Linked DNA regions of Xenopus tropicalis. The protein of the gene in region 1 interacts with the protein of each later gene in a pairwise test. Links are inferred from orthologs where the notes say so. Each region holds a gene or a part of one and is shown on either strand. Other genes may lie near its edges.

Region 1 (4,144 bases):
AAAATCGCCGGCGACAAATCTCCTTGTGTGCCAGAGCCCTAAGGGGGCCGAAACCTAAAATACTAGCTAAGCCGCGGGCCAAATTTTTTATTAAGATACTTAGTAGTAGAAGGATAGATCCTTCACAGTCACAGCGCAGTCAGGTGATTGGTGCTGCATGGTCAGGCACAGTCACCATGAGCCACATAAAACAGCCAGACGGGCCTTGTGTTTTACACGTGCCCTAAACCCTAAAATCCCAGCAAATCTCAGTAAAGTGATACTGGGTAATGGACATATATCAGGGATCCCAAACTATTTTTAGGTGGTGAGGAGCAGCAGTGAGTTGCTCAGGAGCCACTGTTAAGGGATCACTATTATACATCCTCTCTGGCTCTAGGAGAGTTACTCCAGTTACTCCAAACACTATTAATATTATATTAATATAGTATATACTATTATATTATATTATTATATAACACTATTGCAACCACTTAGCAACACCTAAATGTGTATTTAGTCCTGCTACTGATAAAATGATACAAGTATCAGGTTGAGGTACTGCTATATAGTTTCCAAGTAATAAGCCCACTACTAAATAACTTGTGATTATATAACTGAGACGTGATTGTAATCTTTAGTTTGAAACAGTTTTTCATTTGGCAATAAAGGTTATGTTTTATTTCTTCTAACAGTGTGCCATTAGAACGTAGCTTTCTAATTAAATGGTTTGACTTACAAATACGTTATTAAGCCCCATAAGAAATACGTGGGGCTATCCTAGCATTGTTTTTGCACATATATAGGATATAATAAATAAGATTACCTTGAAATCGCTGTAAAAGATCACAATTGTAATAACTTTATAATTAAAAATGGCTAGATTTCGACGTTTTCACTAACTATGGTTTAAAAGCTATATGCCTTTAACACAAACAGAGCGGTCAAAACGATGCCTATTTAAGGAGCTTTATAGAAAGTCAAGGATAACTTAGCTATAAAGAAAGCATATGGGTTCTCCTCAGAATAAAACATTTTTTTCGATTATACGTCTCATCTTGAGAATGAAATAATTGGTGCGCAGCTCCGGTCCGGACGCCATAATACCCTAAGCTCTGAGCGAAAGCAGACGTGGATCCGTGATGTTGGTTTAACAAAGCCCGCTATATAAATCGCCACATCACCCATTAAATGACCCATCTGGCAAACTGGCGTGTCATTGCTAGCCACTTCGCTTCCTCGTTGTTTTTTTTTTTTTTTTGTAAAAAATAGTGCGCGGAGTATGACATTACAGAGTGATCTCTGCAATATTGCTTTACGGTCTGGCGGAAGGATTTGGACGCGCGGCGCGGGGAGGGTTTAAAGGAGGAAGGAAGCCATTTTGGAGCTTCGAGTAAGAGAAACACACGGAGAGCAAACAAAAACATAATAGTTATACTTATAGTGAGTAATAAACAAAGAGAAACGACGGAAACAAACGGACAACACGACGACGAGGAGTCCGACGTGTCCGAGCCCGGGGTGCGTGTTGGGGAGAGGGGGTGGGGGGATGCGGGAAAGGGGAGATGGCAATTCTTCTGAGGAATGGGGAAGAGATGAGGTAATCTGGGCCCGGTAAACACTGCCGTGGGTTAAAAAGGGATAACGCTGTATAAACTAGATCAGGGGTGTTTTTCTTAGGGTGTTTAAGCTGCTGTTAAACGTAACTTAAAGTATTTACCTGTATGTATTTGCTGGGAGACGTAGGAAATGTTAGATGGAACGCCATCGCAATATATCCCGTTCATTCCGAGCCTGCAACACTGTAATCAACTACATGTTATTAATTTGAATCTTGTTAGGCTCTAGTTTTGGTATAGTTACCAAGTAAATGAGTTTTATGTATTGTATGTGCTGCTGTAATGGCTGCTGCTTTATTAAATCTCCCATGTTCTGGTCATAAGTAGGCCTAGCTTCTACTGATTGGCTGCTGTAGCAGAAAGTTCAGTAGTGATCCTTTGTCTTTGGGAAACTAACTTTATACAAGGTCATGTTTTCTGCTTATTTGCTCTTCTTTATCAGTTATAAGGTTCATTTCTTCATGTAATCTATTAATGAAGTAAAGGGAGCCTACCCAGATGCCAAAGGGATGTAGGATAAGAACACAGCAGATTTAAGGGTTATGTTGGGTTTGAATACATCTGTATGATCTTTCTGTCTTAATATTTATGGGGTAGGTTTATTACTAAATTGCTGTGTGCATTGCAAATAATTTTACATTTAAAATGTTATTTTTGAGCCAATAAATGTATCTCTTTTTGAATTATTGGTGTCTAGACAGAAATATCTGGTCTGAGATTTCTGAGCAGGGTTGGAGGGGGGGTGCAGGGCCCACAGGGGCCCCGCACCCCCAAGCTGTCTCCGCTACATCCCCCACTGGGGCCTCCACCTGACATCCTCCCCTGAGCACGCGTAAGTGAAAGTTACTTTCAACCCACCAGGGGAGGGACACTGGCTGCCAGAGCAGCATCTACAGGGATCGGGTCTGGGCTGGTGCGGCTCACCGGATTTTTGCCCTGGCGACCCAGTCAGACCCTAAGAAAGACTTGGATGTTGAGTGCTGTTCTTATCTTCCGCTGTTCTCTTTTTACCTTCCTATTCTTTTGCTGATTGGTTGCTGGGGGGAAAGGGAGGGGGAGATATCACTCCAGCTTGCAGTAAAGCGAGACTGAAGTTTATCAGAGCACATGGCTTAGGGCACCTAAGCATTAAATAACATTACATTTCAAAATTAAATATTAAAAAAAAATCTGATTTTTCAAAAAAACAATTTCAATGCAGGATTCTGCTGTTGGATTTTGGGGGGAAAAAAAAAAAGTCCCTTCAACTTTGTGTTTGGAGGGAAGAGTTCCCTTTTTTTTTTTTTATATAATTGTAATAGCAATGGCGAGCCTCCTGGAAGTTAGAATTTCGCAGCTCTCTGGCAGAAGTAATCTGCCTAATGTAAATTTCCCCCAAAGAGAGAATTTTATATGGGAACCCTACTGTCAGACCTCTTAATTAACAAAATTCTGATTACATGCAAAATGTTGGGGGGGGGTTTGGACATAGTATTTAATTTTTAAGGTGTGTAATGTCATAAGGTAACTTAGTTTGGTATAGGTTGATGACATTTTGCACATTTGTTGTTAAATCAAAACATATTCCTTGTACTTTGTGTCCTGCATGTCCAGACACATGGCATTGGTGATGCTGGCGACCAGATGGATTGTTGGATCTTTGTGTTTGCGAGAAATGACTTGGCAGTTAAGAATAGTGAAGCGAAGGATATTTGATTGTCTGAACATCTTGATTGTATGTGATGAGAACCCCTGAAGGTGGCCATACATTGGGCAGATTTAAGCTGCCGATTGGATCCTTTAGACTGATTCAGCAGCTTATCTGCACAAGTATGGGACCCTCCATTGGGTCTAACTGACAAATCTGACCAAAAATCATCCAGATGACAATTGGGCAGGCTAGATATTCCTGTGGAATCGAGGACCACATTGGCTCATTGATGCAGTCCTCGCTCTAAACAACAACCCAGTTATAGTTGATCTAGTGACCACTTCAGCCATCCAGTTGAAAGGCAGCTGTAGAACTTTGTTAAAACCTAAACTGCCTATTGTAAATTGCTTTCTGAACTGTAAAAGTCTAACCATCACTGGTTATACGTATCTTGGCCTGTATATTGAACACTATCATGTGGTAAGAGGTAGTCTTGATTTTTGTTTTTTTTGTTAGCCAACCTGCGAAAATGGCTGACCAAGCTCTGACCATATTTTTATATAAATAAGCTGCTGTGTAGAAGCCATCAATCTAGAAAAAGGAGAAAAGGCACAGGTTACATAGCAGAAACTCTGTAGAATACAATTATTATTATTATTTTTTTTTTTTAGAGCTTATCTATAGTCTATGTAACCATTTAGCCCTATGTAGCTTATGCCATTTAGCACTATTTCAATTTGATTTGCTGCCCCCATAGATACACAGTAGCTTTGCTTCAGAAACTGTATGATTCTTTACAAAAACACAAAACTGCCAGTGCAGAGCAGCAGTACATTATATTTTAATTACAGGTGTGGGATCTCTTATCTGGAAACCCGTTATCCAGAAAGTTTCGAATTACGAAAAGACCACCTCC
Region 2 (2,438 bases), on another chromosome or scaffold:
CAGCTGCTGACTGCTCGAACACAGGTTTGTAGCCCCTTTGTGTTTGTATTATTACCTTCTACACCATGTATTTCATATTGATTTTGTCCTTGTACTGTTTAAAATGCCAGGAGTTTATTGAAGAGATACTCGCTCCATCATTTGGAGGAATGATTGCATTTGTCAAGGAGTCAGAATCTCTAATTGAGAAGGGACAGCAGGAACGACTCAGAAGTGAAGAGGGTACAGGATGTTTGTATTTTAACAAGTCTTACTATTTGTTTTTATTGTCACTCACTGCATAAAGTAACGGTCTGAATTTCTTGTAGCACGTGTTGCTCAGCTTGTACGGGGGTTCTCATCAACATGGAAACAAGCAGTGGAGAATCTGAGTCAGGATGTTATGAGGTCATTTACCAACTTTAAGAATGGAACTAGCATTATACAAGTAAGGGAATTAGGAAGGGCTATTTAAGAGAGACCTTTATTTGGGTTCTTCCTTTTATTCTAACTCTCTCCATTTTTACAGGGTGCATTAACACAGCTGATCCAGTATTATCACCGCTTCCATAAGATACTCTCCCAGCCGCCACTCAGGAATCTGCCTGTATGCTCAGAATTAATAAACCTGCATCACCTAATGGTTGAGCTCAAAAAACATAAGCCTAATTTCTGAACCCAAGAAGGTAGAAGTAGGAAGTATCATAAAACTGATTCTGTTACCTGTGTATATAACACTAATCTGAGATGCATCAAGTGATGTAAATTTCTTAACAATGAAAGAGCAAGTGCTTTTGCCTTGCTAAGTCAGTAAGATACCTGTACCAACAGGTAAACAGGTAGCTCCACCAAATGTTTGAGTTTAAATATATTTAATGGCATTCTCTTCCTATGCTTAACTATTGCTTGTAAAATCATGCCAGAACTAAATGTATGGGTAAAATAAAGTTTACTACTGGTAACAAATCTTGGATAAATATGTATAGTTTTATGTAGTCTCACAGCATGAAGAAAATGTATAATTTCCTGTGCAGTCATTTGAATGTTATTGCAGCTTATCCATTCCCCGGGGACAGTGAGGTGCTAATGAGCAATAGCTGAAACAGGCCTGTGCAGATTGAGAACACTAGCTTAGCTAGTAGAAAGTACAGGGGTAATACATTCTAAATGCATAGGGGTTTTAATGTAAAATGCCACAACTTAAAGGAAGATGCAGTTGCAAGTCCTTTGTGGACACGATAACACATTCGTTGTAAAGGAGTTATGTTCTTTACTAGAAGCAATAACAGACAAGGGTTCCAAAGTGCTATGGCTACATTTTTATACCTGTATATATATATCTACACACATCTTTGTTTTAAATTATCCACACAGTTTAAGCAAAAATAGATACAAACCAGTATTAAAAGCCACATTTACTAAAATGTTACAAAAGAAAACGTTGCTCTGTGTCAAGAGCAATTAACATACAATACAAAGATTTAGAGTTCCCTCCATCGCTTTCTATTAACATTTAAGTGCAAGTAAGGCTTAAGAGAAACATCTGAGACCCAATTATGTAGCTTATGTTTGAGATAGTTCCAATAAGCCTATAAAGACACCAGAGCACTCTCTCTGCCAGTCAATATGTATGTCACAAGAAAGTCTTGCAGGCTCTTTAAACACAGTATCTAAACGAAGGCTGTTTTACTACACTGGAATGTTACATGCATGTTATCCAATCCCCACTCTAATAATATATCTTTTAAAAGAGTAAGGAAGAGATCTAAAGTACTAGCCCTCCAACAGCTACCTGTATGGATGTCCATACTGAATGTCATTCTTTTAAAAGAGATTAAAGGACATGTCAACCCCAAAAATAATTTTTTGCTTAATTAAAGAAAACTTAATTCTTAGCAACTTTGCAATATACACGCATTACATATTTGCAATGGGTTTCTAGTTATTTGTATGTATATATATATTTGCTATTAAAAGAACTGTCTGCCTGTCCTTTCTATTATCTGCTCTGGTCGCTCTGGCATTTGAAACAATGTAACAAAACACCAGCAGATTTTACAGACCTGACTTGCTGGAGGAGCCCGGCACTTGCAACATTGTTTAAAAAGTAACAACCAGGAGTTCAGCAAATGCTGCTTTCTATAGAAATTACATTTACTAATAACTTTTAATAAGTTGATATTAAAAAGTTGCTTGGAATTATGTTTTCTTTTATTAGGCAAAAAAATTATTTTTTTAGTAGGAATACCCCTTGTTAAACATGGATGCAATGAATAGGGCTTAAGTTTAACATACTTTTTCTCTATTGTTTTTAATATGGTTTTTGCCCCCTGTTCTATACAGGATAACTGAAACTACTTGTTTGGTCCTTGTAAGGTAGCAGATTACCAGTGTAACAGTACCTTCCTTGCCCCTTTTGACTGTTTTGCCAGCAGGAGTCCATTATACAGAGGATTGTT
Region 3 (3,638 bases), on another chromosome or scaffold:
CATGGGCATCAGGTCTCCCCATACTGGCACAGAAATAAGATTTGACAGGATGCAAAGCTTGCCTCAATAACAGTGTGCACAAAATGGTGCCTGCCTGCTTGCTGCAACTGTGAATTCCAAAGCTAAATAAACTAATTCATATGGTGTAAGTGAAGTTTATTTTGCTTGACAAACACAATTGAAAACATTCTGGAATTATTTCTTAGGGTGACAGGTCCCCTTTAAAGCAGCAAATGTTTTTTTTTTTTTTTTACATTAAGGGCAGTAAGGTTGTGATGACAGATTCTATTAGTGCTTTTAAGAGTGGCTGGGATGACTTCTTGAACAAGCATAATATACAAGTCTATTGTGATCTTAAGAGCTACAGTCAGTTTAGTATAGGTATGTGTATATATAATTTATATATGTAGGTGTATTTATAACCTCCCAACATTTGAAAAATGTAAAGAGGGACAAAAAAAATGGTGTGTGTAGCGCAGTGAACAATTTTTTGACCATGCCTATTTTTGCGACAACACCCCCTAAATACCACTCCCATTTTACAAAATATGGCAGGTTATTTAAAGTTTTAACATTTTCTGTTTTGATAAAAAATGTGAAATTGCCCTTTAAAGGAGAAGGAAAGACTAAGTCACTTGGGGGTGCCAAAATGTTAGGCACCCCCAAGTGACTTTAATCGCTTACCTTTTAACCCGGGCTGGTACCCCTGTTAGGAGAAAACCGTACTTGTAGCGAGCGCTTCCTTCTTCCTTCTGGACCGGTGCATGCACAGTAGAGTGAAAAGCCAACTTTTTTGTTAAAGTTCGGCTTTTCACTCTACTGCGCATGCAAAAGCGCATGATGAAGGAAGAAGGAAGAGGAGACCACGCTCGCAGCTACCCCAGGCTGGTGCGGTTTTCTCCTAACAGGGGCACCAGCCCAGGGTAAAAGGTAAGTGATTAAAGTCACTTGGGGGTGCCTAACATTTTGGCACCCCCAAGTGACTTAGCCTTTCCTTCTCCTTTAAGCTGCAAGTCTCAGTTTCCCCAAGAGACCTATTTAGCTTATTAGTTACAATTGTACCTAAATGCAGGTGTGGCTTGTTAACTTTTCTGGGCTATCTGTCAAAAGCTACTTATTTAAGTAGCGTTCAGTGCAGGAGATGAAAGGGAAATGGGGGACTACGGCTGAACTGTTAAAATCAGGACTGTTCCGCTATTTTCCTCTGTATTCCTAGTATTTGTCTAATGGCCTTTTATATAGCTATCCTGAACTCTGCTTGCCCTACCTGTGCCTGAACTTGGACTTGAATTCTGCTCAACATCCTGGTTACCAAGCTTTGTTTGTCTATTAGCTTTGTTTGTCTTGACTGCTTCCCAGTACCAGCATTGTCATTCTTGACTGTTCTAACTTATCCTGATAGCCACTGGTCCTCACAGCATGAATTTTTTTTTAATGAATATGGTCACAATGATCTGTGAAAAATAAACAAAAGAACAAGTACATTTAGTAATTAGTAAATATAAAAATAGAATTTTATTTTTTGCGTTTCATACCTTGTATGCTTAACTGTGAAAATATTTGCAATTTTTTTGGTCTGAATTAAAGGACCTAATAAACAGTATTATGGGTTGAAATCTACATTTATATATATGGAACACACTATTGTACAAACCAGTAAACTATACAAATTCAAAAGAGCAATGGTTGGTAAAATGTATTATGACTGCATCCTAACTATCCTTAGTCACTGAAAAGAACCCCAATCCCCTAGTATAGCAGAAGTAATAGAGAGACTCAAAGAAATAAAAACCATGGAGTTTATATAGATTTATGGGGCAGGGTATACTATTTTAGGAAAGTTTGGGAGAACAAGGATATTTATATGGTCAAGAGAGGAAACAAAGTTAAAATCAAAGAAATCTATTCCCAGAAAGTACTATATACTCATTAGAAGGAAACCATAAAGTTTTCAGTTTTAACATATTTATCTGTTTATAATACAGCCATGATTATCCTTTAAATTATATCCTTATAAACGGTGCTTAGCAATGTCATCAGTTATAATCGGTGGTTAGTAATGTAATTTCTGTCACATGATTCACTTAAACTTGTGTAGTAGCCACGTTTATAAAATATGAGGATATTAGAAGTTACAGAAGAGTTTCACTTTTATAAAAGCACTTGGAACTCCTCAGTGATTTACAATATGCTTATATTTTACAATAGGTGGTACTTTATTCACTATATATTTTTGTTTGTATTTCTATGAGGTTCTTATGCACTATAACTTTATATTTATTTTAGCCTCTAATTTAATTATACTGTTTAAATATAATTAATTGCCAATGCAAATATGTTTTTTAAAGTGAACATAATGTATCTGAGACAACTGTAACAACTAATTAAAAAAATGTACATTGCTGAAAACCCAATTGTAAGTTCTGGGGGAAATTGGACAGATCAGAGAACCCATAGAAGCTGGACTAGCAAGGACTGCAGGCACTGAAGCACAACTAGGCAAGGATGACAAGTTACTGGATATACTGTGTATATAGAATACAAAAGTCAAAGTACAAGGCTGATTAGTAATTCAGATTCATACATGGCATCAACTTATATGACTGACAAACCTCATTTTTTGCTTGATGATCTGCAACAACTCCTAAGTTTGGCTCATCAGGGTAGTTTATTCCATGAATCATTTGTATTAGCAGATACTGTCTGCATAGATAATGTCTCCATTATGAAGAAAGGCTAAAAATGTTGGAACTGTTTACACAGGAGAAGAGGCACTAAGGGATATGTGATTCCTATGCAATAGTGATGCTTTATGCATCAATAGATTCTCTTGGAATCTGGTTATGGGTTTCATTTGGACAGAAAAGTTTGAATTTAATGGATGGTGGTGGATGGTGTATTTATGTGTCTTGTGTATACACCAGTTATTATGTAAGTATATATCTCACATGACAGCCACATTTTAATTTTGAAATATACAGTATAGAAATAAAACAATTATTTTGCAAATTAACATACCTTTTCCATAGAAATACTTTCTGTAGTAGTATGCTCCAAGGTCTACATGCTCTATAATATAGCGCTTTACTTTTTCCCTGTGAATAGGTTGATTTCCTCTTGGAACCTCTAATACAGACACACCAGCATTAGTGCAATGAGAGCTGAGAGATGATTCAAAGGAACAACTTTCACCAGTTTGCACAGAAGAGTTTGCCCTTGATAGTGCAATTCTTCTGTCTCCTTCTCCCCCAATCTCATTTCTAAAATAAGGACAGCTTAGAACAATGTCACTACTTTTGCCATCTCCTTCATCTGCTTCTGGGCTACAGTTAGGGTCTTCTTTACTTCCCTGAGGATACTGACAATTTCCAGCTTTGCCACTAGTTACTGGAGACTGGGATGCTGCAGATGCCCCAGTTGTTATATTTTTGTGCTTAGCAACACTAGTCTGTGAGTCAATGGCTTCATAAATGTTAAACAAAATACTCTGTACATCATAATGTGCGAAACCCTTTTCAAAGGTCCCCATTTGCATACATTTGTCCATTTTACCATCGTTAAAGTCAAACGAGAACTTTAAAGAATCATGGTCACTTTTTACAGCCCTTAGTCTCTTATACAGAGATGTTTCAACAGTT

Evidence for each region.
Region 2: the proteins of ddx6 (region 1) and vps52 interact in binary tests that used the Homo sapiens proteins (3 or more experiments, as listed by UniProt). The two-hybrid records come from large-scale screens. The link is inferred for Xenopus tropicalis from reciprocal best matches to the Homo sapiens genes DDX6 and VPS52.
Region 3: the proteins of ddx6 (region 1) and sipa1l2 interact in binary tests that used the Homo sapiens proteins (3 or more experiments, as listed by UniProt). The two-hybrid records come from large-scale screens. The link is inferred for Xenopus tropicalis from reciprocal best matches to the Homo sapiens genes DDX6 and SIPA1L2.

What each region holds. Positions count from the first base shown.
Region 1 is NC_030683.2:80,853,943-80,858,086, reverse strand, and holds the start of ddx6 (probable ATP-dependent RNA helicase ddx6), read left to right. Parts: upstream 1-1,343; 5' UTR 1,344-1,500; intron 1,501-4,144.
Region 2 is NC_030684.2:72,052,442-72,054,879, reverse strand, and holds the end of vps52 (vacuolar protein sorting-associated protein 52 homolog), read left to right. Parts: coding exon 1-24; intron 25-110; coding exon 111-222; intron 223-308; coding exon 309-427; intron 428-508; coding exon 509-655; 3' UTR 656-1,878; downstream 1,879-2,438. UniProt on the Homo sapiens protein: Acts as a component of the GARP complex that is involved in retrograde transport from early and late endosomes to the trans-Golgi network (TGN).
Region 3 is NC_030681.2:57,792,404-57,796,041, reverse strand, and holds part of sipa1l2 (signal-induced proliferation-associated 1-like protein 2), read right to left. Parts: coding exon 3,019-3,638; intron 1-3,018.